Linked DNA regions of Drosophila melanogaster. The protein of the gene in region 1 purifies or fractionates together with the protein of each later gene. This does not show direct contact. Each region holds a gene or a part of one and is shown on either strand. Other genes may lie near its edges. The genes, in order: ck, Mlc-c and Sans.

What was found.
Region 2: the proteins of ck (region 1) and Mlc-c purify together in Drosophila melanogaster (affinity purification with western blotting; one study listed by BioGRID). This does not show direct contact.
Region 3: the proteins of ck (region 1) and Sans purify together in Drosophila melanogaster (affinity purification with western blotting, with the first as the bait; one study listed by BioGRID). This does not show direct contact.

What each region holds. Positions count from the first base shown.
Region 1 is NT_033779.5:15,052,164-15,062,192, reverse strand, and holds the start of ck (crinkled), read left to right. Parts: upstream 1-4,330; 5' UTR 4,331-4,525; exon of another isoform or gene 4,526-4,688; intron 4,689-8,670; 5' UTR 8,671-8,761; coding exon 8,762-8,779; intron 8,780-9,458; coding exon 9,459-9,719; intron 9,720-10,029. Other genes in the region: TfIIS (RNA polymerase II elongation factor), read left to right, coding at 1,695-1,760, 1,827-2,702; CG33679 (uncharacterized protein), read right to left, coding at 3,306-3,461, 3,525-3,890. UniProt on the Drosophila melanogaster protein: Myosins are actin-based motor molecules with ATPase activity. Unconventional myosins serve in intracellular movements: can function in cells as a single-molecule cargo transporter.
Region 2 is NC_004354.4:5,616,390-5,625,746, reverse strand, and holds Mlc-c (myosin light chain cytoplasmic), read left to right. Parts: upstream 1-5,171; 5' UTR 5,172-5,219; coding exon 5,220-5,268; intron 5,269-5,460; coding exon 5,461-5,873; 3' UTR 5,874-6,611; downstream 6,612-9,357. Other genes in the region: POP1 ribonuclease P/MRP subunit, read right to left, coding at 383-1,272, 1,340-3,023; RhoGAP5A (Rho GTPase activating protein at 5A), read left to right, coding at 7,070-7,181, 7,267-7,889, 7,961-8,438, 8,521-8,626, 8,691-8,856.
Region 3 is NT_033778.4:12,932,189-12,943,222, forward strand, and holds Sans (scaffold protein containing ankyrin repeats and SAM domain), read left to right. Parts: upstream 1-4,702; 5' UTR 4,703-4,901; exon of another isoform or gene 4,902-4,908; intron 4,909-5,427; exon of another isoform or gene 5,428-5,485; coding exon of another isoform or gene 5,486-6,082; exon of another isoform or gene 6,083-6,155; intron 6,156-6,211; 5' UTR 6,212-6,264; coding exon 6,265-6,287; intron 6,288-6,379; coding exon 6,380-6,523; intron 6,524-6,586; coding exon 6,587-6,808; intron 6,809-6,898; coding exon 6,899-7,894; intron 7,895-7,963; coding exon 7,964-8,129; 3' UTR 8,130-8,224; downstream 8,225-11,034. Other genes in the region: CG17019 (uncharacterized protein), read right to left, coding at 1-1,174, 1,253-1,410, 1,483-1,550; SCCRO3 (squamous cell carcinoma-related oncogene 3), read right to left, coding at 2,564-2,921, 2,978-3,311, 3,375-3,512, 3,591-3,765; CG30487 (uncharacterized protein), read right to left, coding at 5,486-6,082; Mdr49 (multi drug resistance 49), read right to left, coding at 8,236-8,985, 9,056-9,664, 9,768-10,213, 10,389-11,034.

The DNA.
Region 1 (10,029 bases):
AGCTTAATAAAAGTAAGTATTCGAAAATTGTAAAACGAAAATGGGTGTAACAATATGAGAAAAATCCGTTAGAAGTACAAAAAGGGGCTTCGACAACGCTGAAACATAACCGAAAATGGAAGAATGAAGTCAAAATGAGCTTAAGTATTCGAAAATTGTAAAACGAAAATGGGTGTAACATTAATATTTAAATGGGATAGTTTTTACAATAGAAGAATTAAAAATGATAAGGGGAATAATATATGTAATACGTTTTCAAATGGTTTTAATTTTGCGGATTTAAAAATTGGAAAATGAAAAACTTGTCGAGTCAATTTAGACAAGTTTTAATGAGCTTATTTTTAATGTTGCAAAATTAAATCCGATTCAAAACTAATTGCATATCACTAAGATAGTCTCTTGCTACTTACCCTGCCTTTCAAGAGCAAATTAATTCTTTTTCACTTTATGTATTACCTTACAAACTTTGATAAGTTCAGATCACTTCGCGCAACGCAAAACCGAAAAGGATCTGTTAAAAGTACCAAAAATCTAGTGGTGGAATTTCCCATTGTGCTATCGCAATTCGATATTCACAATTTCGATAATTTATATATATAGCCGTTTTCCACTAACACATCAAATGTGATTTAGCTATTAATGAAATTGTAATATTCAAGCAACCTAAGTGATTCATTCATATGTACATACTTATATGTAAAGATGGTGGTGGCATTTTTAACATGGGGAAGTTCTTATTTATTTACTTTTTCGTTTGTTATAGGTGAATTCCTCTTTATTTTTATACAATATAATTTTATTTTACGTTAAGCAACCAATTTAAGGGCTATGAAACGTAGTAACTAACAGGAGCAACGAAGATAACATGGAAACATACAAAATTTGTATAAAAATATTGATTAGATAATAGTTTGGCTTGTTTATGCCACGTGTCCAAAGATATCTTTGATGACGCCTCCTCAGTGTTCTCCTGGTTGTCTGGTATGTGCCTGATTTAATTTGTTCTCAAACTGAAGGTGGATGCTGAGGTCATGTGCGATATCAACATTTCTCGCGTACCAGGGCGCGTTGGTGATTGTTCGCAACGCTTGGTTTTGGAGCCGTTGCCCTCTCACTATGTCCCACCGCCGATTTGACCCGCAGACGTATCCCGCTTGTCCCCAACAACCGCACTTCATCATAATACATCATCTCTAGACCACACTCAAACGATTTATTTATTAAAACTAAGTGATATATAGGGAATTGTTATTGAAGGTAATTAGTATAATTCAAAAACGCCCAACACGCTGTTCTTTCATTGAAATACAGTGGAGCCCTGCTTGCAAGCAGTGCAAGTTTAAAAAACATCGCAATGCTATGTGTGTGTACTCGCTTAAAAGCCAGATGTACATTAAAATACGGTAACACTGTTGACTTCTGAAACCCAAACTACTTCCAGTTGGGAATTGTATTAGCCATGGGAAGGCATTTCTTGACAAGCCACCGCCCGGTAACACTAAAACGCGTTAGGGTGTTCTGTCAACTCGTTCTGCGAATACAGAAACGAAAAAAATAGTAAACAACATTTATTGGAGGGAAAAAAAGAAATAGCCCGGCTTCCGCATAAACAACTGTCGCAGACCCGCAGCACCGATTAAAGCCGACAGCCGACGCCAGTTAACCTAACCTCTGATCAAATTAAGTGGGCCAAAATGAGCGTGGAGGAGGAAGTGTTTCGAATCCAAAAGAAGATGAGCAAGATGGCCAGCGACGGCACAGTAAGTATCGGGATTAGCTAACGTGCCGCGCATCATGTCACAAATATACATATATCCACCGTACAGGGACAGGATCAGGCTCTGGACCTGCTGAAGGCCCTGCAAACGCTTAACATCAATCTCGACATTCTGACCAAAACGCGCATCGGCATGACCGTAAACGAGCTGCGCAAGAGTAGCAAGGACGACGAGGTGATCGCTCTGGCCAAGACGCTGATCAAGAACTGGAAACGATTCCTCGCCAGCCCGGCGCCAACCACACCGAACAACAGCTCCGCTAAGGAGGGCTCCTCCAACAACAGCAGTGCCTCGAAGTCCACCAGTGCCGCCAAGTCGTCGTCGTCAATCTCCGGCAAGGATAAGTCCAGTTCATCCAGCTCATCCAAGGATAAAGAGAAGAAAGGCTCGACATCCTCGTCACAGACCTCGTTTCCCTCCGGCGGCATGACAGATGCGGTCCGCATCAAATGCCGCGAAATGCTGGCCACCGCACTGAAGATTGGTGAAGTGCCCGAAGGATGCGGTGAGCCGGAGGAAATGGCCGCCGAACTGGAGGATGCCATTTACTCCGAGTTCAATAACACGGATATGAAGTACAAGAATCGCATTAGGTCACGCGTGGCCAATCTGAAGGACCCCAAAAATCCTGGATTGCGAGGCAACTTTATGTGCGGCGCCGTCACTGCCAAGCAGCTGGCCAAAATGACGCCGGAGGAGATGGCCAGCGATGAGATGAAGAAGCTGCGCGAGAAGTTCGTCAAGGAGGCCATCAACGATGCCCAGCTGGCCACCGTGCAGGGCACCAAGACCGATCTCCTCAAGTGCGCCAAGTGCAAGAAGCGCAACTGCACCTACAACCAGCTGCAGACTCGTTCCGCCGATGAACCTATGACCACCTTCGTCATGTGCAACGAGTGCGGCAACCGATGGAAGTTCTGCTAACTCCCAAAATTGTTCCAAAATATAAATCAATCCCAAATGAGCACACACCACACATCCTTCATATTCTTAAATGAAACATTGTAAAGACACGACACGCGAGAAAACATTTTGTATCTGCTGCCCAACTGCGGAGGCGTTTACTCTGACCACCTAAACCTTAAACGAGAGAAAAGAAATTTCAATAAACATTAACTATTGATAAAACGGAGACGTCTTGTTGCCGCAATCAGTTTTTTAAAAACGCCGGTGATAACGACCACGCTGCTGATAACTCGCCGATAACACAGCGGGGCGATAAATTGAGCATTGAGCAAAGTAAATATGAATACATTATAAATATAACTCAGAATGATCTAGCAGAGAAGTAAATAAGACGCCATATTGTGTATGTATTCTCGAAGAGTATTAACAACCGATGTAATTAGTCAGTTTTAAAGCAATTTGCATTAACGAACTTTGTATTGCATTAAGTATAGAAGTCGGAACGGGCCAGATCGGACAACTATATCATATAGCGGGCATAGGAATAATTAAAACATTAACGCAAAATAAATATGTGTTCGTTGTGTTAGATCCATTAGGTGTTCTAATGTTTTGTTCATCTTAGTCAACGTCAATTTCAAAGTGGATGTTTATGATGGAAATCCAGTTCACGACACCATCATCCATTTCGAGGGTTAACTTATAGCTACCCTTTGGTAATGGGACCTTGGCAAACATACGATCATCCAAGGTGCAGTTCCTTATGTAAATATCATCCTTAAAATATATATTTTAATATGATTTAATATGATTGTCATATTGGCGAAACTAAATACTTACATTATAGGGACATGTATGATTAATATTGGAAAAGGGCATAAAGGCGGTGTAGAAATAGTAGAAGACTCTGAGACGATTTGGATACCTTAGGACGCGACAGTGTTCCTCGGAAACATTAAATAGAAACGGATGGTATCCGTTTAGCTTCCGGTAAGTGATGAATCTCACGACCATCCTATTTATTGGCAGTTTCAGAAGCTTAACGTGTATGTTGGCTCCGATAATTCCCCTGCCAAGCACTTTTAGTCGGCATTCGGGAAAGACGACGAATGATTTGTCATAGCTTTCGCACTTGAGGTTCGTGAGGCGCACGTATCCATGGGATTCTCCAATGAAAAGTAAGCTGATCCACAAGAGGTACTTCATCAGGGCAAATAGTCTGGATGTAATGACCACTCTACGCGATGGTGGAGTACTGGTTTCCAAAAATATAATTACTGATGGGGCATAATTAGATTTTAATTACTACTTATCGCAGTTCGTATAAATAATTAGGTAATCAACAAACCGCTTCAATGAGCTAATATGACGACATGTTTAATATATTGACATAGAAAAAAGATATTTCTTGAAAAATGCAATAGCTTATGACAGATATTTTGAAATGCGCGCCGAAATTAGGCAGGTCGATAAATTTGGGTAAGTAATGCTTATTTTTATCGATGCTATCGGAAGTCTATCGATCGGACTGCTTACGCGGCAATGTGACCATATAAGCGGTTTTCAAATGAACTGTAATGTTAACTCGTTAGCATACCACGATTAGTAATCCGCGCATTTTTTAGGCCATTCGCAACTGGCCCCACCACCTGGTCACTCTTATTGATCAGTTTATCGGTTGTTATTTTTCGCTTCAAGTCTTGTCTTCTCGGCGAAAAGAAAAACAATAAACAAATCGCACAGCCCCAAAATGATCAGTGGTCTGTAATCCACCTGTTGCTCGGCTTAACTGTGCTGGAAAAGCGGACTTTCGGCGCGCTGCTCTATTCCTGCGACTGCTGGTGCGTGACCTATTTATGTAACCTGTTTTTGAAAAAGAACATCCCGCTTTCGACGGGTCTGGAAAAGTGTTAATTAAACGGTCGTGGCGAGAGCGATTCCAATTAGAATTCGAATTCGGTGACCGAAAAGCGGAGAGTGCAAAATTCTGAGGCGGCAATTAAGGTAGAGAGTGATTGGAAAAAAGAAAAGAAATGAAACGAAACTAAAAGAAAAGAGTGCATTAACCCTGCCAAGCGGTCTGTGTAAATGTGTGTCTGTTTGTGGCTAGAAAAGCCAGTGGGGAAAATGACAAGGGTCACAGCATCGGTTCAGTGTAACATCATCGATTTTATTGCATTTCCAGACGGAGACGTGGCTGCATTGCATTTTTATTGCTTTAGGCGAGTGACCAAATTAAATAGCTACGCTTCAGGTTTCGTTGGCTAGAACGGTACTAACATGCACACTACAAGCGCAGCCCCGCTCTCTCGCACGCACACACGGACAGGTACACCTGCCGAGGAGCTGCAGAGCGAGCGAGAGGGAGAGATGCGTAAAGAGCGGCTCACAGTGCAACACATTCAAGGGTGCTGCTACCGTCTCCCCCTCTGCCACGTACCTTTCCCACCCGCTCTCGACAGTGCGCTCTCTCCCTCTCATTCTCCTTGAGCTTGAACCAGGCTTCCACACTGAGAAATAAACGATGTCAATTTAAAATGATTTGAATAGTCTTTTATGGAATTACGTGCGTAAACCTTAAAACAGTGACTAAGTGTGTTTTATTAATCAGTTGAAAACGTTTTTTTTTATAATCTATCATTATGATTATGAAAAATATACATATATGAAATACTTTTACTGTGTAAATCTAATCTAATCAGAGTGTACTATCATTAATTGTTTATAAATTTCAAACATTCAAGTTAAATATTTGTATATCCCATTTACATAAATTTGCATAAATACAAATCGATCATGAAGCGTCTGCTTTTTCTTGCAGTTCAGCGGTCAAGAGTTCTGAAATTGACAATAACAACAAAAACGCAGGCACACTTGTTTGTCCGGTTTGTTGTTTTTGCTGTTGCACAACGGGACATTTCGTGTGTGGACAATTGGAAAACCCTTTTTCAAATAAACGCTTTTCATTAGCCGGTTTTTGTTTCTTCTCTCCCATCTCAACCTTTTTTTTGCGTTTCCATTTGGGTTGTTGGGCTGTTTTTGTTTTTGTTGTTGCTGGGGGCTTTCGCGCACGCAGCGACTTTCTGTTTGTTTGGTGAAACTTTTTTAAGGTCTTCTCTAAATACATAATAAAAAAAAAATGAACATAATACTTTGCCCATTTTTTATTTTTGTTGTTGTCGCTGGTGAGTCGTTAAATTTTGTAGAAGATTTCAGTTGTTAAACCAGAAGCAAATTGTGTGAACAACAAACGAAGTTTTGCGAAAAAGAATTTTGTTAGCAATGCTAGTAATTATGGAAAAAGTTAAAAAAAAATTCTACAACTAACGGTGTTTTTTAAATTTAAATCATTTACAAGTTCACATTAATAACAAACACTTTATAATTTAAATTTGAAAAGGTCTAAAGGCAACATATAATCAATATTTTTGTAAAATAAGTAATATTATAAATGTTCAAATGAATTGAAAAAGTGCATTTGCTCTTAAATTTAAGAATCGTTCGCATTCCATAGACTTTACTACGGATTTATTATTAGCCATATTATCTTGAGAGCTATAATTCAAGTGACCAATAAAACAATATGGGTTTAACTAAAGTGCTCCAATTAACGTATAAGTAAAGTGAAACCTTATAGGATTATTATTGCATTTTTTGTAAAATAAGACGAATATGAATTTTTCAGATAGGAAATGTTTTTATGCCACAAATTGCTCAAAGATGACAACAACATGATGTCAAGTGTCAAAGTCAAAGTGAACAAAAAGTGGTTGTATTAAACAATTGGTATGAACGCCATACATACTTTTATATGTACATATGTTTATAGATAATATATGGCCGAGTGTCTGTATGTAGTGTAGAGTAGATGGCATAAACCGTAATTGTACGTGGCTGCCACACACGAACTTTCACTAATGACTCTCGATGAACTTTTGGATCACTCACTAAAAACGCACTCTCTTACTTATAGACATATATACATGCAGTACATATACATACATATGGTTACCATATATATGCACTTAGATACGTGCCAATCGTTCGTCACTGAGTCCACTATCACTACCATTCGATGCTAAATCTGCAGAGCCGGAAATTCTTAGACGCTCTTTGCTCGATTCTATAAGTTTTTTAATCGTTTTTGGTCATGCCCAGAGATACAAATGTCTGCCTCACACCTCGATTTACACCTTGTTTGATGTTTCGCTTCTTATCGCTACTTGCACTGCAGGGAAATTCTGATAACAGCAGGTACGGCAATTAGGCAATCGTTTTTAAATAATTCAGTCATGACTGTGCTTAGTCTAAGTGCTCTCTTCAATTTGAAAACAGTTGTGGATTGAGTACCAAAAAAAGATTAAAATACGAATATAGATACGTTTACCTAAAAAGCAATCCTTAAGATACAAATAGAGTTCCCAATAAATGAAACCTTTTCCGCGTTCTACAGTTAAGTACTTGCGGAAAGAGGGGATTTAGATGACAATGAGGGCATTAAACTATTAAATTGGGTGCTGATAACAGGACAACGAGTATTGAGCAATATTACTTAATACATGTATGTATGTCTTAGTTAAATGTTTGAACTCCAGCCGACAATTGAGGTCGCTATATGGTTGTGGTTCGAGTGTGGATCGCGGATAGATGGGTTCCCTATGTGCACTAGACTCGTATTTTGACCGGCAGAGCGTAACCAGACTGGTATGTGTACGAGTATACGTGCCGCCGTGTGCCACTAAATTTGGTTGCTCCGTAGCTGTTGCTGCTTTATTTTTTTTTTTGTCTGGCATGTTGCAATTACCGTGGAGAGGAGAGACGCCTCCCAATGAGTAACTACACTACGGCTGATACCATGCCACACTATACTATACCTGTGCGGAGGCAGCCGTTAGTCCATGTGCTAAATGATGGATGGGGTGTCCAATTGAAAGGCGGCTTCGATGGCAACCGACTGGGAAATGACGCCAGCTTGAAACTCTGATTCATGACTGGTTTCGGAAATTAAGTAGTTCGCTTAAAAAAGCCGATCTACATGTTGATTAGATGAGTTTTTCCGGAATTCTCTAGATTAAATGATTAAACTAAAGAATTATGGTTGTAATCGGACTCTGTAATCAGCGCTCATTTGCTCACTTGTAATCCGGTGCTAAAACTGGTTACTATAATTGCAATGTTTATTTTCTTTAGTTCTAAAGATCATATTTAAAGGTGGAATTTTCACCAACGATAACCTGTCAGTGGCGCAACACATTTCTAATTTCTTTTCGTAAATATCTAATTGAAGATGGTTTAGTTTTCTATCGCCTTAAATCGAAAACATTGTTTAGCTACTGCCAGGCCGTACAAAGTAATGAAAGTAAATTTTTTCAATGAAAACCAAGCAATTTGCATAACAAACGCAGCTCATTGAGACCTTCGATTTCGGTTAGACCCTCTTTTTCGGTTGGTTCTTGTGGCCAAAACTGATTGTTTGAAGCGACCGAAGCTCAAAAAGTGAAAATAGTTGGATGGCCTTTTTTGCATGTCTAAAGGTGTAAAGGTTTATTTACTTTTTTTATAGGATTTTCGGTCACGTATCAATTCGTTTGGATCGGGCTGTTTTCCCTTAGTTTAAGAAGAAAAGAAGTATCGAAAGTATGAGTTTTATGAATGCATTTAAGCCTGATGACTAATTCGCTGTTGATTTTGTGTTGTTAATGAGTTGCCACTTTTGCTGGCTGTTGGCTGGAGTGTGTTGGCCAAATCGAGGAAAGAAAGACGTTTACCTCGAGCTAGGAAAGCGATTTGATAGCAAGAACAACAAAAAGAAGACGACGGACCACAAACGAAGACAGCGACAAGTTGTGAATTCTTTCAATTTACCGTAAACTTCACCTTAATTTTTTCTACTATTCGAAGCCGGTTTTTGTTGCCGCAGGCGCTAACTCGTATTTTGTTATTGTTGCTCATGGCCAACTCTTCCACTTGTTCTCTCTTTCGGCAGAGAAGAATATAACCCAAGCGGCAGCAGCGAAAAGGAACGGGCCATTGTCCCTGGATGCCAACACAGGATCAGTAAATGAAGGACGACGAACATGGTGATCGTAACACGTGTAAGTATTTCACTCACCATTAGCCCCCGCAGTGGAGGTATCACTCCTCTTATCGAGCCACTCCATCTATCTCACCTTTCCCCGCCCCATGAGCACCAGCTAACAGAAGCAAAAAAGCGGAAGTTCCACGCCATGGCTCACTTCAACTACCATTGCTCTACGAACAGTGGTGGCTGGGAATATTTGAATGGGGCAAAGCAACAGGTTGATGGTATTTTTCAAATATATATATATTTTCATTGCAGTCTTATCAAAGTACTTTATTTTTGCATAGTTTAGTTTTTTAACTAATCTAACTAATCTTATACGCATTCAGATCTACAATCTTATTTCATTAAATAACATTCTAACTGACTTAAATTGTTCTATGATAATTGGCTAGCTATTAGTGTTATAATAACTTCCTTGTTCTAGACCTTCTCTATAAGGTTTTTACGTAAAACCTTTGCATATTCATCCAATTCCGCCCATCACTGTGCACTGCCCATTTCTGTCCCTGGTATTACTATATTTGTTGCGTTCCGCTCAAGTGACTCTTACAACAAACAGCCCATAGTCTTTATGGCACCCATGTCCATGGCAACCGAATGCGGCTGCCTCGTAAAGAACTGAATGTCAAATTGTAAAATCGTAAAATGGTTAAAAATCGGAAATTTGTAATTGCGCCTCTAATCGACAGGGTGACTACATCTGGATAGAGCCCGCATCTGGGCGAGAATTCGATGTGGCCATTGGAGCACGTGTCGTCTCCGCCGAGGGTCGTCGCATCCAGGTGCGCGATGACGATGGCGACGAGGTGTGGCTGGCACCCGAGCGCCGCATCAAGGCCATGCACGCGTCCTCCGTTCAGGGTGTGGAGGACATGATATCCCTGGGTGATCTGCACGAGGCTGGCATCTTGCGGAATCTGCTCATCCGCTACAAGGAGAATCTGATATACGTAAGTTGATCTTTATAATACATAGAATTCAAAAGAAAGGCACTTTAATGGATTGCCCCTATACCAATTTAAAGTTAATCACTAGAAGGAAACATGTTTCTTAAAAACATTGAAGGTAAACATAAGGAAATTAGCTCGTTAACATTCAATTATGTTGCGTCATCTTTACCTATTTAATATTAAGTGATTTTCAATTTCTTATCGTGCTCCAATTATAAGAAATTGAAAGAATAAAGTAATCAATTCGGCGGCAGCCGTTATCTTTCTATAAACTTAAATATGTTATATGATATATATGATATTGAACGCT
Region 2 (9,357 bases), on another chromosome or scaffold:
AAAAAACGAATACAAAATTCAAGCGCGATTCATTTTGTTCAACAACACTCAACAAAAAATACTCATGCCACACACAAGCGAACACACATTCACCATATTCACCACATTCACACTGACATTCACTCGATACTGAGTTCATTGCATAACGAATACCAATTGAAATACAAAACATTGAGTAAAAATTTGATGGTAAACGAAGTAACGATGACATACAAGTAATTTTAAATTGAATAAAAATTAGTATTAAATATGTACAACAAATTTTCAAGTTGTTTTATTGACGGGTTAAAACAGTTAAAAGCAGATTAAATCGAACTTTTTTCAAAGACACGATTGGATTTAACTTACAACTAAGTAACTACTGACTACTAACTAAAGTCGATCAAAAGGTTGGACTAGCCACATTCAGGTTGACCTGAAAGCTGGCCCAGCGATAGTCGCGGCTATCCGCATCGCGCACCAGGCACATTAGCGGCGGCTGTTTGCGGTTGCCCTTAGATGCTGGGAGCTCCTCGATGAGCTGCTGCAGGCCGGCGGGTGTCACATAGCCCACTGCACAGACGAGTGCCTCCGTGAAGCTGAAGCCGGCCGTGCTCACGTAGCCAAACACTTGGCGACTACACTGGCGACGCACACTGTCCCGCAGCTCCGCCGGATCGGTGGGCAGCCACAGGCGGCACATCTCCTGTAGTTGGCCACGTACGAGATGAGCCGTATTCGCTGGCCGTATGTGGACACGTTTGGTGGCAGTCTCCTGAAGGCGCCGCTTCTCACGCACCCTTCTCGATCGCAATCGCTTCAGCTTTAGCTTGTGACTCTGGCGTAGCTCCTTGCGCAACTGTTCATTCAGGTCCGGTTGCGTTGGCTCCACGTGAACGGGGGCCTGGTCGTTGTGCTTTAGCTGTCGCCAGCGCTTCTTGTGATCCGCCGCCGTGGGCAAGCAAATCAGGGCGTTGTCCTTCACATGGCCACGGGATAGCAATTGAAGTTGAATCTGTATGATGGCGTCGTCGGGCAGAGTCTGTGGCAGTGGGCTACGATGTCGAATACTCTCGACAATCTCCTCCAGCTGCTGGCGATGCCGCAGCACATAGAACGATGATCCCTCGCTCGCAGAACTGAATGATGCACGCCAGTCGCGCACTAGATGCCTCCAGGGTGCAGTAAACGGACTGACCACGGCCAACTTTCGGTAATTGGTACGCTTATTGGGCGGCATACGGAAATACCGGGCACGGAGCTCATCCGCCGAAGCAGCAGCTCTTTGAACTCCTAAACAGATGCAAAGTGAGATGATTAAGGGAATATAGAATACGCCAGAGTATAAAACACTTTTTACCCGCTAATGTATCTGGCAGATGTATTTCGGCACCTGCCTCCCTAGCCACCGAATCCAGTTCCCTCAATCCGCCGGGTCTGGCGCCCCACATGGTGAGTGTTAGCCAGAGGGTCATGCCGTATCCTGCCGGTGCAATCACATCCCAGCCGCAGCCGTAGCCCAATCTCTTGTATCTGGGGTCCTGAGATCCTGGTCTTTGAATAAGTATCACGGGAAGCGCCTGCATTTGCTGTTCGAAGGCACATGGAGCTCCTGGCACAACGGCATGTTGTTCTCGCAGCTGGTCGTACTTGTGCGCGGACATAATGCCTTTGGCCAGCCGCTCTCTCGCCTTCTTGCTCCACAGAGGACTCTCCGGCAGACTCTTTGGCTGATTCATGAGAAGATCGCCGGCGGATAATGGTGGCTGTTCCATTTTGCCGACTGCTTTCGTACGCTTCTTGGGCCGCTGCAGGCGCGGATCCACTACAAGGTGGGCCATCACCAGATTGGACAGCAGTTCGGCGGGCGAGCTCAGCTGCAAGGCTGCCTGACAGTAGTTGGCTTTATCCTGGAGCTCCTCTTCTCGATGCGGACGTAAGCTGGCAAAAAGAACTTTTTGGGCTCTAGGCCCTGTCAAACGGAAACGATTAAACTCCCGCTGCAGCAGTACCAAGTGGAGAGTGCCGTCGGAATTGAAGTAGCTAGGCTGTGGATCGAATGCTTTCGTTTTTGTCCAGAAGCGCAGGGGCCTCTGTTCAGGCTTCTTCTTCGAGTTTTTCTTGCCAGGCGATGTTTCCTTGGACAACTCGACTGGCTCAATCTTATCCACATCCATCTTTTCCTCAGTCACAGCCTCGTTTAAAGGCAGCTTTTGTTGCCTTGTGGATTTCAGCTGGAACACGCTTATAAGCTGATTTAGAACAGCTTGAGCGCCACTGGGATGTAGCCACAGCCAGAGCGTGTGATTCGTCTGTTTCTCATCCTCCTCCTCCCGCCGTGGCCGCCACATAAAACTGGCCCGCTGCAGGGCTCCATACGGATAGCGGCCATCCTCAAATAACTCCACGCTGCCCTCACGTCGTCCGCTCAGAAAAGTCCGGGCCGTGATCCCAAGGCCACACTGCGGACTTGTTAGCCGGGCGAATCCCTCGCGTAGCATGTCCAAGGGTCCCCGCAACTCCACGCAACCATAGAACGAGATGTCCTGCAGCAGGCAGTGCTCGGCGCTGGCGCGATAGCAAGCGCGGTAGGTCTTGTCGCAGCTGGCGTAGGGCAACCGGTGGCCCCAGCGGTCAACCATGTGGAATCGCTTCGCGTGCCAGATGTGCGTCTCCAGCCAGACGTGCCGCCTCTGCCGGCGCACGTACTCACGCATCAGATTCTTGGGTCTCCGGCGGTACTTCCTCGATGGTCGTTTCCCATTCACCGGCTGGTTGCCGCTTTTGCCCATTTGGGACTTGTGCGCCTGTCGGTACTTGCGCGGCAGTCGCTTGGGATGGTGCGACATGGCGCGGCGGCGCATGTGCTTGGGCAGCGTCTGGAAGATTAGCTTGCTGCTCCGCTGCGTCGTCTCCTGGCAGTCGGCCACCAAATTGCGAATCTCCTGCAGCGCCTCGGCCGCATAATGGTACGTGGTCACGTGCGACGGCAGTGTGACCCGGCCGCCCAACGCAGCGTCGTACTCCACCTTCTGTGTGCTCATCGGGGACTAACTAATTTGGCCAGGATCCAATGCATCCAAAATCAAAACAAATCGGCGGCACGTGTGGCGGTTTCTTGTGAAACGATCTGGCAGCACTGCTCGATTTCACTAAACTCCCTGCACTCATCGATGTTGTCGCACCTATCGAATTTCGAGTGGCCTATCGATTGCGCCCACTATCGGCGACCACTAACACCAACAACGTTTCAGAATTTGCTTGCGTTTTGTTTCGACGTCGAATTCAATATTCAATATTTCGTGTATTTTGTGTTGTTTTCCCTCAGATAGCTAAAAACAAATCGATATGGTGAGTGCAGGCTGTTTATTGCGGCGCTGTTTACTGTTTACGATCGCACTGGAAGTGCGCTTTCCGGCGCCTTTGGAAGCCAGCACTCAAGTTTCCTTCATTGTTTTCCTTTCTTTCCCCTCTCTCTCTCCCCGCAGGCAGCTTATACCGAGGATCAGTTGGCTGGTGAGTTGAATCGCACGAGGACCAGACGGGGTCAAGTACCAGGAGTCAAAAGTCGGGCAAATCGCATATATATATATATACAGATATATATATGTGTATAGTATTGATATGTGCGCTGGCACCTAGCGCCCTCTCCCTCCCACTCCCACACAGCATTGGAATGCGGGAAAGCGATGGCACGTACATTTGTGTGGTGTGCATGAATCATTGATAAAGCAAATACGCTGGAAGGCAGACGGCAGCCATACGAATACGATCGTGACTCACCTAAAAAGCGGCGAGAAAGTCCCAAAACCGAAACACTGCAATACCCTGTCCAAAATGCTTTAATTAAGAGCAGCTGTAGGCAAAGTTTGACGTGATGACTTCGAAAGACATCCGAGATCAAGCTGACAACACATATCGAAACTGTGCTACTTTTGGGCTTTGATCAGCAGATTATGTTCGTCCAAGGAATAGCTTCATAGAATAGCGACACACGGCTGTGTACCAAGTTTCGCATTAATATCTCTTGATAAATCCGAGTTCTTTCGGTTATCCGAAACCCACACCAAGTTAATTGATAATATGCATAGCAGGCAACAAACTTATTCGACCATCAGCTAGTTAGTTTCTGCCAACAAGCTAGTGCTAGTCTTAAGCTAGTGTAAACCAAGTTTGTAGGTCATCATAAGAGCAGTTATTGTAAGACAGAAACTGGTCGCTTATAATCATAACCAACACCTCGGTATGAGTACAAAAAAAAAAAAAAAACACTGTTTAAGCGAAAGGAAGTGAGCGATAAAATATAGATAACAGAGCGGTCTAATGGGATAATCACCCGGTTTTCTGACTCGCCGGCTGCTCGTTTCAAATAAAACTGCAATTGCAGTTGCAAAAACCGAATAGCCATGCGATAAGAAGCCAGTCAGTTGACAAAAAAAAAAAAAACCAGCTTCCATTTACGGAACATCACCTTCTCTCTAAGTAAAAATGCAACACGATTTCGATTCCATGGCGAATCAAATCGAATCGAATCTTTACGCAATCCCCTCGTTTAACCTAATCAAAGTCAATGGTCTCTGATAATTCCGTCATGCTGGATTCGTGACACTCTGACGTCAGCGTTCAACCGCATATGCCTATGTACGAGCCATATACCATATATTTATTTTCCAATTCCAACTTACCTTGTTGCAATCTTTAGCCAGCCGTCGACGTTTTGTCATTGCCTAAAATGGACAAAAATGTGCTGGATTCGTTTGTTTTTATTGCCATTTTTGGATCTCGTATTCGCATGATAACCGAACACATCCCAGCAATTCATCGAATGGTGAACACTCTAGTGCTCAGATCTTTAGAGGATCTGAAAACAAAATATTGAGCCCAACCACAATGTTCTATTTACGCACGTAGATCGCAGAACTTTTGCAGCTTGGTTAACTTACACCATCACTTGCTTAAATCCAACTGCACGCGAAATGGACTTGCGATGTCACGCCTCGAAACGAAAAACTTTGAAACTTAGGATTTCTGGGTTGTTTATCTTACTTGCAAGCAGGCAGTTCCCGGTAGAGAAACGAAGTTTGCCAGCGACGTGAGGGTATACCATGGCCAAGGAAGGCGGAGTGGTGGCTTGCATCGGAGCCGATCCGATCCGCTTCGATCCGATGGCCAGCCAAATCCGGGCAGGCGGAGTTTCAGGCAGTCAGTAGCTGGCAAAACGGTCATCGGAGTGGTTCAATATGTATTACTATACGGCGCATGTGAAGCAAACCTTTACCACACTGGAAGGTGATCCATTTAGCCATTTAGTGGGTGGTAGAAAGCTATAGTTCCCCCTCACATTTCCATACGTTTATATGTAGTAGTTATGTAGGTATTATATATTATATCCCTTATCGAAGGGTTCTTGTAAGTTGTAACGATAATAATTAAGATTTGTAAAGCATCTGCCAACAATCAGCACGCACTTTCCATTCGCAGAATTCCAGGAGGCCTTCAACCTGTTCGACAACCGCGGAGATGGCAAAATTCAGCTGAGCCAGGTGGGCGAGTGTCTGAGGGCCCTGGGCCAGAACCCCACCGAGTCGGATGTCAAGAAGTGCACCCACCAGCTGAAGCCCGACGAGCGCATCTCGTTCGAGGTGTTCCTGCCCATCTATCAGGCGATCTCCAAGGCCCGCTCGGGCGATACGGCTGATGATTTCATCGAAGGACTGCGTCACTTCGACAAGGACGCCAGCGGTTATATCTCCTCCGCCGAGCTGCGCCACCTGCTGACCACGCTGGGCGAGAAGCTCACCGACGAGGAGGTCGAGCAGCTGCTGGCCAACATGGAGGACCAGCAGGGCAACATCAACTACGAGGAGTTCGTGCGCATGGTCATGAGCGGTTAGGATCAGACCGATTCTAGCTGTTCAACTGTCCAGCGACACGACAATAGAAGCAACGCTATATCCAACACAATACAACACACCAACACTAAACACACCTGCCAAGCTACACATAGATGAGCCGTTCATTCCGCCAGAAGTTCCAACTCCGTGATTCCAACTTAGCCATTCTTACCCCGGCATTAAAGCATTCAAAACCAAGGACAACGACCAAGGATATCGAGATATAACAAATACAGGGGAAAGTGCTTAACACAAGCAGCTAATAACTGAAAACTAAAAACTAAAACTACGAGATTGGAGCTATTCCCACTTCCAAAATTAACCAACGATGTAGACATAGATTCATGATTAACCATAACTAATTACCGCGTCTGTGAATGTGCGTATTATTCTAAAATTGACACTAGAAGGTTAATCAGTAATTATCAACTAGTGCAGTCGTTCTTTTGTACCAATCACACTCGATACATTTATATATATATATATATGAATTACCATAGTATACTTCAATGGAAGGAAGGAAAGCCAGAGTATCACGAAAAAGTATTTCTAAATTAAAGCTGATATGCGTCGGTGGCGTGTGTCCGTATTTAAATGCGCATTTTGAAGTTTTACATGTTTATTTTTTTTTAAATAATTTAATATTTGTATTTAATAAATAATGAAATGAGATCCAATGAATGTGTAGGTCTTTTTACAAAAGAAACGTACTTAAACTATTAAACCAATTGAAACCTTAGCTCTTGTTTTTATTTCTTGTTGAAAGCGGATGGCAATCAAATAAATGGCTGCTTAAAATTACGACTGATGCAAATTTTTGAAATATTTAGGAAACTTAACTGAAATTAAGCAAATTGTTTGTGGTATTTTTTGCGAGCTCTTGTGCTCTGAGCTTTCGGACATTTTTAAACTGATTATTAAGTGAGAACCACTGCATACTACAGTATTTACAAAACAATATAATGTAGTTTAGCTATCAATAAATTCAATAAGCTTACTATAAAGTTTATCTAAAGTTATAGTCATTTAAATTTAGTATTCTTCCGACTTTAATACCGCGCTAATTTTCGCCAGTCTGGCAGCTCTGCTCGCTCGGACAAAATTATTTGTATACTTTACTTAATTGGCTGCATTCCTTAATTATTCGCCGCCTACTTAGTGGCTTTTGACCAAGTGGCCTGCTAATCCGAGGGAGGATGCCCCGGAACACGGAGGCGGGCGCCGGAAATGCGAATACCGGTGGATCCGGCGGAGTAGGCGGTGCCCCCGAGCCCAGTTCTCCGGTTCAGAAGGTTTGGAAGCCGGAATGTGAGTGGAGAAGCACCTCGTATGCCACCCACAAGCTTATGATATGACTAACCATCCCCTTACCCATTTACCCGCCCACGCACAGTGTACAAACTGCAGCTGGAGGCACCGGCTCCATGTCCACTGCGCTGCCAGCGAACACTGCCCCTTCCGCCGGCGAAAAGCACGGCTGAGGCCGTGGAGGCCAATAACTTGGCGGGCAGGCTATACGGCTCCGAGTACCATGGCCTGATGGGCCACCTGGAGGCGGAGCAGCTGCTGGCCAATGCCCGCGACGGCAGCTACTTTGTACGCCGGAGCCCCCAATCCGATGGCTACTACACGCTTAGCCTGCGCTTCAACAAGCGACCCAAGCACTACAAGCTCCTCTATAAGCCCGGCGTGGGACACTATCTGCGCGGCCAGGACAAGCGCTTCGACACGGTGCACGACATGGTCGCCGACGGGCTGATCAACTTTCACATGCAGCTCCACGCCAGTCCCATCATCCAGCAGATTAACCAGCAGACCAAGAACTGCTACCAGCAAAGCCCATACATGACCTTAAATGGCCGGAAACTTAGGGCTCTGTCCAATGAGCTGGGCAAGGCCGCCGCCAAGGAATCGAAGGAATCGCCAGCCGAGGAGAAGGAGCAGAAGCAGGAGGAGCCACCGCCTCCAGCCGTGGATCCCATGCCGCTGGTCTACGAGAAGCCGCATCACTTCAAGGTGTGTGTTCAGACATAAGAAGCCAACTATAAAGGATCATAGCATCTAATGGAAGATTCTGATCCAAACAGGTGCACACGTTTAAGGGGCTCAATTGGTGCGAGTTCTGCGCCAACTTCTTGTGGGGATTCACCGCCCAGGGCGTCAAGTGTGAGGCGTGCGGCTTTGTGGCGCACAGCAAGTGCTCCGAACTGGTGCCGCCCAAGTGTGTGCCGGATCTGAAGCGCATACGCGGCGTATTTGGCACGGATCTGACCACGATGGTGCAGCTGGAGCCCCACCACCAGATACCCTTCGTGGTGCGCCGCTGCGTGGAGGAGGTGGAGGCCCGGGGCATGCTGCAGGAGGGTATCTATCGGGTCTCCGGCTTTGCCGATGAGATCGAGGCACTCAAACTCGCCCTGGATCGCGAGGGCGAGAAGACGGACATGTCGGAGACGGCGTATGGCAATGTGAATGTGATCGCCGGCACACTGAAGCTCTACCTGCGCCTACTGCCCGTGCCGCTCATCACATTCCAGGCGTATCCCAGCTTTATGGCAGCAGGACGTGAGTTTTATGGTGCTATGCTGCACCTCATCCCATGCCATTCACATCTATCTATCTCTCTATCTATTTTGATCTGTTGCAGGCACCGGCAAGCAGGCCGAGCAGCGCCAGCTCATGGCGGAGGCAGTGCGTCGCCTGCCGCCCGCCCACCACAGCTGTCTGCAGTACATGCTGGAGCACCTGAAGCGGTGAGTGTGACTGCCAGCATGGTCAATGCGATCTTAAGTAAAAAAAAAAACCTTCTGCCCGCAGGGTGGCCTCCCACTACGCCGTTAACAAGATGAACGAGCACAATCTGGCCACCGTATTTGCGCCGACCCTGATTGCCACGCCCCAGCACATGACCAACCTGACGGAGGAGATCTTTATGCTCTCCTCGCTCATCACCCACTGCAAGACTATATTCGCCACATCCTGAGGACGAGGTCATCATACCATGCTGCCCATACCAAGCCAATAACTAACTTTATCATCAATTAGAGGAGCACGGCCAAGCGAATCGCGTCTGTGCCCACCTGTCTCTTTCGAAGCGAATCCTTAACTTCCACCAAAAAAAAAAACTTTAGCCTAAGATCAAAATCGATGATTTTTATACAAACATTTATATGAAAAAAAAAACAAATCAACCAGTAGAAAAAAACGAATTTAGCGATTTTTCGAAATATTTTTGCGCTAATTAAATATGCGTCACAATAAAAAAAAGGATATTTATTATACATATATACAAATACAAATTCAAATACCTATGTGTATTAACTTGACAAACTTATTTGCTCGCTCGTTATTTTTTTTTTTTGCTCGTTTTTTTTTCGCTTTTTTTTTAACGGGGCAGGCGTGTAATTCGCTGTAGCACATTTTTCCTAACGATTAGCAAGCACCGAGTTTTCCTGTAAGCGCAAGGCACTAGCCAAAATCACTT
Region 3 (11,034 bases), on another chromosome or scaffold:
TGGCAGCTCTGGCGATGGGAGTGCGGATGCAAGCCGTGCTCTGGGTGTTCACTCAGCGTGGAAAGTCCCAGGCTTAGGCCAGGTCCACCTGGCGCCACAGGCGACTCGTCATCGCTGGAATGGTAGCGGCGATTCAAGTAACCATCGGATCGTCTTCGAGTCACTTTCTTTGTGCGCTGCGGTACGGCGGGATAGAACGCCGGACTTGGGTTGGCCGGGCGCTGATTTACGTTAAGTGCCTGAGTACTTTCGCCCATCTCACTATCATCACCCTCGACCGCCGGCCTGCTGCGCAATGTCACCTCTAATATCTCATCGGCGGCACTCGTGGTCGGCGTCTCTTCTACAGCTTCGATCCGGTTTACCTCCAGCACCTGCCACTGATCCAGGTGACTGCTGTTGGTGTCCGTGTTGGCCTTGCTCTCGTCTGAGATGCCACCAATGGCGCCCAGCTCCTCAAAACTTGACTGCGAGGAGGCATCTGCCTTGGAGCTGCTTGACCCCGGCTTGGAGCAGCCTGGACTAGGTGCTGTGTTCCCTGCAGGTCCATTATCTACGTTCGCCAGATCAACAGGACTGGGCTCTGCCGCAGCATTGACCCTCCGGCCACTGGTATCGGTTTTGAGTGAAATCGAAACACGCTCACTGAACGTGGCCATAATCTCTTCGTCTGAGCACTCGCAGTCGGACTTGCTTTGCGCGTCTTCCTGCTCTTCATTTCTCGCTTCCTGATGAGCCACATGGGCCTGGCTGCTGCTACTGGCATCGCGATTATTCGATGACTGCGTGGAAGTCGAGGGACTGCTGCTGCTTTGACTGCCACCATTGGTGGTTGTGGCTTGCTGTTGGACATGCACGTGTTGCGGTCCGCCGTTTACGGCACTGGCATAAGTGGGTATCTCACGCGTAGATACTCGCGGCTGCTCGAAGATGTGGGTGGGCACCTCGGGCTGCCTGCTCTCCGGCGGCTTTGTGGTAACTTTGGAATCGAACGAGGCTAGCGAATCACTTATGTTATCGCTTAGGTTGGAGAAGAAGTTTTGGCACGACTGTTTAAGGCTGTCGATGGGATTGGCCTGGCCCCGACCCGGACTATTGGAGGAGGCGTTTGAGCCTCGGCTCCTGTCAACCTGGGCCACATGGGTGAGAACCAGTCCTACAAGCTCCTCTTTCTCTGTGGGAAAAGTTGTATTAAGTTGTGTTTTTGCCAGAGGTTTCCCCATCCAGGGGACTTCCCGGATGAGTAACTCACCTAGACAGCCTTCAGTGGAGATGTGTTTGGACTGCAGATAGAAAATCAGGTCCTTGGGCTTGAGCTTTAATAGATCTGTCCTTGACAGTGGTCGCTGAGCGAATACAGAGCATCGTTTGCACCGCCTGGATGCAATGCAGTTGGCACAGTAGTAGCGTCTAATGGAGGTTTACAAAATATCGATGAATCCCCGAAATCCGTGAAAACCAAATGAACAGGCCATTACTCACTTGCAGTCGAAGCAAGCACGCTTGCGACGGAACACCGTGAATTCCACACCGCAACTTTCGCAGGGCATCGTGGTCGTTGGACACTGGCCAGCTGCTCCTATCGACCGTGTCCTTGCACTGAATCCTTGCCCTTCCTGGCGATTACACCCCTTCCGCCTGCTCACGCCCACTGTGCTGGCATTGCGTTTGTTTTTCAATGTCAACGCCGTGAATCACTGGATAAAGAATGCCCTGCACACGGCTATCATTTCCACCTGGTGGGGATTTGTTCAAGAGCGCGGAGGTGCACTCAACACTTAATCATACCCAGCTGACTGCGTTTGCGATGATTTTTATAATTTTATCAGGCCAACCAAAATAGCAATTTAATGTACTAGTCTCACGGTTGCATGGAGGCATTCCTATCGGTCCAATCTGCAGATATGAATATCGATAGGCCATGCAATTGGCGGTTGATTTGAATACATCCCCCCATTTTAAAGCAACTATTATGTTAAGTTAATTTACTGGTATATCAAACTAAATACGCCATGCCATAATTAACAAATCCAATTAAGCAGTTTAATCTTTTAGTTGGTTTTATTTAATTCACATCCACTACTTACAGTTAAGTATGTAATTGTATGCATTTAAATAGTTAAGTGCCATAAAATGTTGCAATTTTGTTTAAAATAATACATCAATTAATTGCTAAATATTATACGGTCTACCTTCTGCTCCGCCTTCAAGTCAATTAGTTATATACACATGTGGTTTCCGATGATTGAGCTTTTCCAAAATTCTTGTCGATAAGTCTTTAATTACATAAACAAATGCGTCCGTTGTTGCTCCGGCCAGAATGTTGGCCAGCCATAATAAGAGCTGGCTAATGATGGCAGTTGGAGAGTCCGTCCTCAAGCAGCGCCAGCACCGCATCGTTCGTTTTCAGTGGCCACGGGTGTTTAAAGTTTTCTACTTTCACAGGGGATCTTAAGCAGCAGCTAGAGAGAGCGAGTGGTCAGTATAGATGAAAATGTACATTCTTTAATTTCTATTGGCGAGTTGAATGTTGCTTGGCCCTGAAGAGACTGGAGACTGGCTACTATGACACAAGACCCGGATCCTCGGCCTTCACGTGGCTCTGTAGGGGATCGTCGTTGTTGTTGTCATCGTCGTGGATGCCCGAGGAAACCAGCGCCCGGCTTTTCTCGTAGTCGACAAAGTCGTCGAAGAGGCTGGGCCACGCTTCGGTATCATCGTAATTTTGTATATCACATTGTTCCGTAAAATTGAGGTACATGTTCCATGTATCCTTCGGTATGCGGCGAATATTCGGGTGCTTTTCGAGGAAGTGTATCCAGTTGGAGAAGAGATCAGGTGTTTGTACAGTGAACACAAGTTTCCACAGGTCAATAGCCATCTCCAGAGAGAGGACGCGCTGATCGGGCTCCAGACCAAATCTGAAATTTGAGACGCTAATTAGGTACTGATCTTCCAAGCAGTAAGAACGGCATACCGGAATGTAAAGCGGTATAACTGCTTGAACATCTCGGCGTCCGCCTTGAGCATCTCGATTGTCTGCTCCAGCCGCACCCGGATACTGTCTATTGTGTCCGCCCTCATCTTATGCAGACCCTCAATGAACTCCACCTTGGTGAAGCGGCACATCTGCGAGGCATCCAGGCACCAGGCCAAGACGAGAATTGCGAACTCATCGGGCTGATAGTTGAGGTCATTGCATAGTCGCTCGATGCCGTCCGTGAGTATCATCTCCTCGTCGTCGGGATCTTTGTACACATCGAATAGTTTGCTCAGCGTTTGGTGCGATACCTCCATCGATTCCTGGACAGCTATTAGAATATAGAAAATCGAATGAGTATGCCGCCAAGGCAGTCGAATGAACGCTGACTCACCAGTTGTTATGATATCGCTCATGGTGGGCGCACTGCCATTAAGCAAACCTAAAGACTTAAAACTATTACGCTTAGTATCACAATTGTTTGCTTTTGCTGGCTTGAGTGGAGTTCGGCTAGAGAGCAGTTCATCGGTTTCTAGAGTGCATAAGCCGGAATAAGAGAGGTTTCTTAGACTTTGGATCACAATGCGGTTATTAACTATAGAATACCCACCTAAGGCGCAGCGCTCGTTGGCATTGGGATTAATGCCCACCGATTCGTAGCAATTTGCAAGGCTGGTGGCCGTCTGGCAGGCGTTGGAATTGGAATTGTGTGAATTGGGGGACGAGGCGTTCGTTGGCATCGATTGTTCGGCGGCAGACTGGAAGCATTTCAGGCAATTGCCCATAGTGCGGGCGTGCTTGGTGCACCACCAGGTCCTACTCCTCCCCCGTGCTCCGCCTGCAGTTGCTTGCTTAACGGGAGCACTCGATGGCTTCCAGTTTCGTTTTGGCTGAGACACTGTGATTTGTCAAGGGGCGTGCAATTGCAATTGAGGTCTGCTGGTCGTATAGCTTCTGGGAAATTTATTAACTATGCATTGGCACTGCGATTCCCTCCTCTGGCATATGGTAGTGGCTATTCCGATTCCGATTCCAAGTACGTCCTGTGCGAGTACAAACAAGTACGATTCCGATTCCGATTCTTTGTTGTCACTGCGATTGCTGTTGTTATTTTGGTGCCTCCTACGCAAACGCACACTCACGCGTATACACATACATGTGCAGGTTGCAACTGCAGCATTTGGTGCCACCAAATCGCGCTCGTCTCTCTCTATTGATGGTTTTCATTCACATTTTCAGTTCACCGTGCTCCAGCGCGTGTTTAACTACAATTTTTTACAATATTTTTAATTTGATTTATCTCGCTTTTTCACTTGTCTTGTTTTTTTCTGGCAATCGGACCAGGGCGGCACTAGTCAACCAGGGCTGCAGTGCTCTACGTTAGTTGATGCGATAGTCGTAGCAACTTCAGTCTGGCAACACCCTATCGTCGAAGAGAGTCACAGTAGGACATACAAGTTGATTCCGCACAGTAGTTCACACCTTAAATATTTTCGTACAAATTATTCTATATTCAAATACGATTATTGAACCAATACGTTCAATACAATGTTTTTATTAATTTATATTCTTTATATTACTTTATTGGTTAAGAAATTTAAAACAAAACATTAGCATACATAATTTTTCCCATTAAAATATTTAGTTGCCGTCTAAGCAGCATCTATCATTTTCTCGACCACTGTGCGTAATGTGAGCGCCGAGTTTGAGCAAAGCTAACAATTTCATTCAACAACATGCAGTCGGAGCGGTAGAAAGTGCTTCCGGGTAACGGCTTTCGGAACGTGCATATTCTACCGATCGCAGATGAAAACTTTCGGTTCGTTTGGCTAAAAAGAAAAGTGTCAAGCTGCCCGGAGTGGGAAAATCCAATTTGAAATCCTGCATTTGAAAAGTCGTCTTGAACCGGGACAACTAACTGGTAATAAGTGAGTGTGTGTACCCGTGGTAAATAAGTAAATGGTTGACTGTCTCGATTTTCGGTTGTTTTGGGCAATTCGAAAACCAGCCAACAAGGTTGAGTGAACTTGGTAGTTGGTCGTTGGTATGTAAGCCAAACTCCGTCGTGCGCAGTAAATGGGTAATGTTTTCTTGTGTGCGTGTGTCGTGGGCCTGTGATTCTTCGCGGCGGCTACACTTTTCTTTTTCTTTTTTGGATTATTAATTCGAAACGTGTGAACGTTAGTACAAGTGCTGGGAAAAAGGGCAATATGCTTAGGCTTAGGAATTTGGCTCATCTTCGGGCTTATTTTAATTGGCCAGCCCCACACAATAAGCACATTAAAAAGTGGAGTAAGACAAGAAGTACGAAAACCCCGTCTACATTTGGTACCAGTAACACCAAAACGGAAATCAGTCGATCTGATACATACATTGTACATATGTATATGCATATATAGGGATCCAAACCTAACATCACCACATCTAAAATGAGAAAACCGTAAACTAAAATGATTTATATCTTTTTTTACTCTAAATATAACAATACACACACCGTTCCAATCATTAAGTATACATTATTTCAGCGCTGAGCGGAAGATTCTTGGGTATGTTGAGCATATTTTCGAAGTAGCTGGACAGCTCTTCGAAATTAACTTCGTCGGGGCTTTGAGTCGGAGCTTCTGTGCCTCCATTAGAGAAAATATCATCACATTGACAGGTCAGGTAGACTGTATCGGGATCCGTTGGGATCGATTTAGCCAGATCCTGTAGTTTGTCCACCCTTGGGACCGTCAAGTTTATGGCGTTTCCGTAACCACAAATATTTTCACACTCGCTCATCATGGTTTTAAGATCGTAGGCATTGCCAGAAACCTTTCCAGTCGCAATCTTTGCCCAATTAGATTCCTTCTCTTCGTCGGTGTCTCGAATTTTGTGAGCCCAATCCACTCCTTCGGCACGAATTCTTTTAAAGGGATGTTCAATTATTGACTTTCGAAGAAGAAACTTTTGCTTCAGTGTATGCTTCGGAATTCGTAGATCTTCGAATTTGTTGGAATCCAAAGTTGCCTCTATTGCAGATTTATCGAAAGTTGTTGCTTCGATTGGATTGTCAGATATTATCATCTTACGCAGCTCGGAGGAGATTTTTTCTATAGACATGCTTTTTAATTGTAAAGAATTGTTGGCGCTTATGTGTGTGACCTAATTTTGAGAATCTTGAGATGTGTGATGGAAAGGAATGGCAAGTATAATGAACAGCCTACTCATCTCGCCTTGGATTCCTTTCAGATCGATTCAAGAATTTCCATCGCCAACCTGATTGAAAGATAACACAGACGAATATGTCATCGGATCGGTTTCACAAGTGGGTACATGCAATTAATTTGACTCTATCTTATCACCAATGGTGATGCACAAGAGACTCATTAACTTTCTGGTACAATCGTTTCCGTTTAGAGCCGCCAAAGATGGGCTGTTGGATGTGTTGGCAGCAGCCACACGGAAGGATACGAATGCCAAGGACAGTGATTCCATGACGCCGGTCATGTGGGCTGCCTTCGAGGGGCGTCTGGATGCACTGCGTCTGCTGTGCGGAAGGGGGTACGCATTCGTTTAAATGATAATTCTATATCCACTGAAGATAATCCTTTCCTCTCCCTTCAGTGGTGACCCTGACAAATGCGATCAGTTCGGAAACACAGCCTTGCACTTGGCCTCCGCCAAGGGTCATTTGCATTGCGTCGACTTCTTGGTGAAATTCGGAGTAAACATCTATGCCTTGGATATCGATAAGCACAGCGCCAAGGATCTGGCGGCTATTAATGGCAGGGACGAGATCCTGCGCTACTTGGATGTTGCCTTCACAAACTTTGAGGCCACTGAAAAGTAAGTTTATGAAATATCTGCCACTTGCTTGCATTTTTGTTTGCATAATTTATTTTTTGTATATATTAAAACTAATACTTCAACTAACAGAAAAAAAAGCAAGGCCCTGAAAGAATTGGCCGAGAAAAACTGCGAGAAACGTGTTAGGGAGTACATGAAGCGCCAGAATCAGCAGCAACAGCGCCAGGATCCGGAGTATTCGGATCTAAGCGCACCCAGTGGCTCCAGCAAGACCGGCAACATGCTGTCCACTCTGAAGCAGAAGATCTGGTCCAGCCAGGGCAATCTAAATAAGACACCAAGGGATACACCGCCTCCCACAAAGTTCAGCGATCTGGTTGGGAACGGTAGCAGCAGCAGCGGTGGCTCCACAATAGCCAGTCGAGCGGGAACGGTGCAAAAGAGACCGTCGCAGCTCCAAAAGCAGCACAGCAGCACATGTCCACACTCGAAGATATCCAGCGACACAGACGGTGGCTTCAAGGTGCGCGAGGTGGAGCCAGATGGAAAGCGAACCATTACATCGCTTACGGGTCTGCAGAGAGACTCCGAGGTGCTGTATGTGGGCACCTTTAGTTCCAACGAGGACAGTGTCGGCAAGCGCGGCAAGATCAGCGATGTTTTTGAGTGCATGGAGGCCGATGAGTTGGACCACAGCGATAACCGCAGTGGCTATAGCTCTACTTTAGCGCGTTCCTTCTCCCAACCGGATATTCTGGGGGATGGTCAGTTGACCCAGGAACTAAGCGAGGAAGTGACCCTCCAGAGACCCGTTGGACTCTTCGATAGACCCACCATGCTGGGCAGCATTGCCTTTCGTCGATCCGTAACTGCTGCTTTAAGTCAGCTTCAACTGCACACGGACACCAGTTCCACTTCCACGATGCGGAATGCGGGCAGCAATCCTCCAAAGACACGAAATGGCGGAGGAAAGGGTCGTTTATATTTGAACCTTTCGGATGATACGGACTCGGAGGGCGGCGGTCATGACATCTATAGCGATGATGACGACGACGACCGAGATGCCGGAGGAAGTGCCTTGCAGCGATTCCTGGCCGTTTGGGCCCTGGAAGAATACCTGCCAGTGTGAGTAACAAAACCAAATTTGTCTGGAATGTATGTGTATTCAACTCGTATCCTCCTTTACCATTTCAGATTTCAGAAGCAAGAGATCGACTTGGAGACTCTGATGCTGCTCACAGAATCGGACCTTAAGTCACTTGGCTTGCCACTGGGGCCATTCCGTAAACTCACCTTCGCCATTCAGGAGAGACGTAACGCCCTGGCCAATCCCGGACCCCTGGTAGACAGTCGACTGTAGTAGTTGGCCTAATCATTCTATTTTTTTTGTAATACTTCAACATGTTCAATTAGCCTAGTGTACATACTAAATTAAAGCCTAACAATTATCACTCCAGTTCGCTGTGTTAGCCCGACACCTGTTGCATCAGATAGAGATTGGCGTAGATTTTGTTCAGTGCCATCAACTCATCGTGGGTGCCGTGCTCCACTACCACGCCGCGTTTTAGCACACAGATGAGATCCGCATTCCGCACGGTGGTCAGACGATGCGCAATCGTCAGGCATGTGCGGCCTGATCTCGCCTCATCCAGCGCCTGTTGCACCACCTTCTCGCTCTCCAAGTCCAGCGCAGAGGTGGCCTCGTCCAGGATGAGTATCTTCGGGTTTCTAACCAGGGCTCGAGCGATGGCGATGCGCTGCTTCTGACCTCCAGAGAGCTGCGATGTCTTGCCCAGTCGGGTGTCGTAGCCTTGGGGCAAAGCACTTATAAAGTTGTGGATATTCGACTTCTTGGCCGCCTCAATAATCTCCTGCATGGACACATCGTCACGGAAATTGTTGCCATAAGCTATGTTCTCGGCAATGGTGCGATCGAAGAGCACGGGTTCCTGCGAGACCAGGCCCAGCTTGGAGCGCAGTGTGTCCAACGGGAATTCCGTGCTCGGCACTCCGCTCAGATTCACGGATCCCGATACGGGATCGTAGTAGCGAAGCAGCAGTTGCACGCAGGTGGACTTGCCGGAACCAGATGGACCCACCAGAGCAACCGTCGTCGATTTCTTGATGGTGAGATTTAGGCCCTGCAGAATGGGAGTGCCCTTCCTGGTGGGATATTCGAAGCCCACGTTTTCATAGACAATGTCTCCCTCGGATTTCTAAAAAAAAACAATCAAATTTGAGTTTCCAACATAATGTACGGTTTCGATTGGCGAAATGTTGACTTACCTCAACTGTATTGTAGGGACTCTGTGGCGGATTGGGCTGCGTTGAGGTGCGCTTGAAGAGATCCATTAGGCGTCCGGCGGACAGAATAGCATCGTTTACATTTGGCGCGTAGGCCAGGGCCTGTCCCAACATCCAGGAGCCAAAGATCAGAGCCTCGGCCACCTTGATGATGTCCTCATAGTTCATTCGCTCCTCTGCCACCAGAATACCACCATAGTACATGGAGATGCCGTAAGCCAGGAAAGGAGCCGCCTGTCCCAAAGCGAAAACCAGACCACGGAAGCGAACCTTACGCCTGCAGGCGATATCCACGCGATCGATCTGCTGAACGTATTGATCCAAGACCTGGCGCTCTAGGCAAAGACCATTGACCGTTCGGATATTGGTAATAGCTTCGACTGCCACTTGAGAAGCCTCCTCGATCGACGCCTTAGCCTTCTGGGCGCTCTTCATGATAAAACGGCCCTCCAAGTAGACGGACAAACAGACCAGGGGCAGGGTGACCAGTGTGAGGAGCGTCTGTTGCCAGGAGAAAACGAAACCGACGACCATTCCAACCACAAGAGTGGCCACGGCCTGGAGCATTGTGCCCACACGAGCTCCGGTTGCCTGGAATAAGGAAAAAGCGTTAGATATTTAAACATATATAGTAAAAAGCAGTAGCTTGGAATAGCAGTGCTTCTGCATGGTTACCCTCAATCTTGAAACTTACACCCTGAACGTTGGAACAATCGCTGGCCAGCCGGGAGCACAGTGCTCCCACTGAATTTCGCTCGTCATCGAAGTAGGCAATATCCTGACCAATAATCGTTCCAAAAGCCCTTTTACGCAATCGCGTTGTCATCTTCACGCCGGCCGTTGTGAACATGTAGGTCTGGAGCATGTTGCCCAATCCGGCCATCAAGCCAATGCCCACAAAGATCATGGAGATTTTCAGGACCTCGGCTCGCACAACGTCATCGTCACCGTCCGAGAGGATTCCAAAGAAGTCGCCAAAGAAGAGACCCCAAAGCGGGAATGTGGCGCCATGCATTACGGATGCAATGCCTCCGACGACAATGAAACGCCACTCCGGAGAATTAAGCTTCATTAGTTGAGTGAAGGACACCTTGGATACCACTTCCTTGTCCTTCTTCTTCTTGCGACGCTGCGAGCGACCTGTTAATTATTTGAATTGGATTTTAAAGTTAATATATATAATATAGTGCACGATTTTATAGAACTTTTAATTTTGCATTTGTTTTTATTACTTATTTTCTTTACTTAATATCGAATTTAAGTCTTGGTACTTGGGTTAGTAAAAGCATTAAATATTCCAACTTCTGGTACTTACGCTTGCGTCGCGTGCTGGCTCTGAATCCGCTGTCCCTGGAGCTGCCCGAAGTCTGCAGCTCCGGCTCTTCGTCCTCCTCTTCATCTTCCTCGTCATCATCGGTTTCCTCGTCAGACAGGTTCTGCGACTTCTGCAGAGGTCGCCCGGCAACCGCTCCCTCGTCCGCCTCCGTGGCCTCCTTCCGCTGGGTGATGCTCACCAGTTCGCAGTAGAGACCACGTCGCTCCATGAGCTCCTCGTGCGTACCCTGCTCCGCCACTACACCGTCCTTGAGGAAGACAATCTTGTCGGCATTGGTGATGGTGGACAGTCGGTGGGCCACAACTAGAGTGGTTGGTCCCTGGCTGGCCAGTTCTAGGGCACTTTGCACCCGCTTCTCAGAGGTGGGATCCAGGGCAGAGGTGGCCTCGTCGAGAAGAAGCACTTGGGGCTGTCGAACCAAAGCCCGGGCAATGGCAATCCGCTGCTTCTGGCCACCAGAAATCTGAGCGCCCTTCTCGCCCACCTGGGTGTCGTAGCCCTTGGGTAGGCGAGTGATGAAATCATGACAGTTGGCCGCTCGCGCCGCCTTCTCTATATCCGCCTGAGTGGCCGATGGTCTTCCGTATCGGATATTCTCGCCAATGGTGGTGGCGAAGAGAACCGG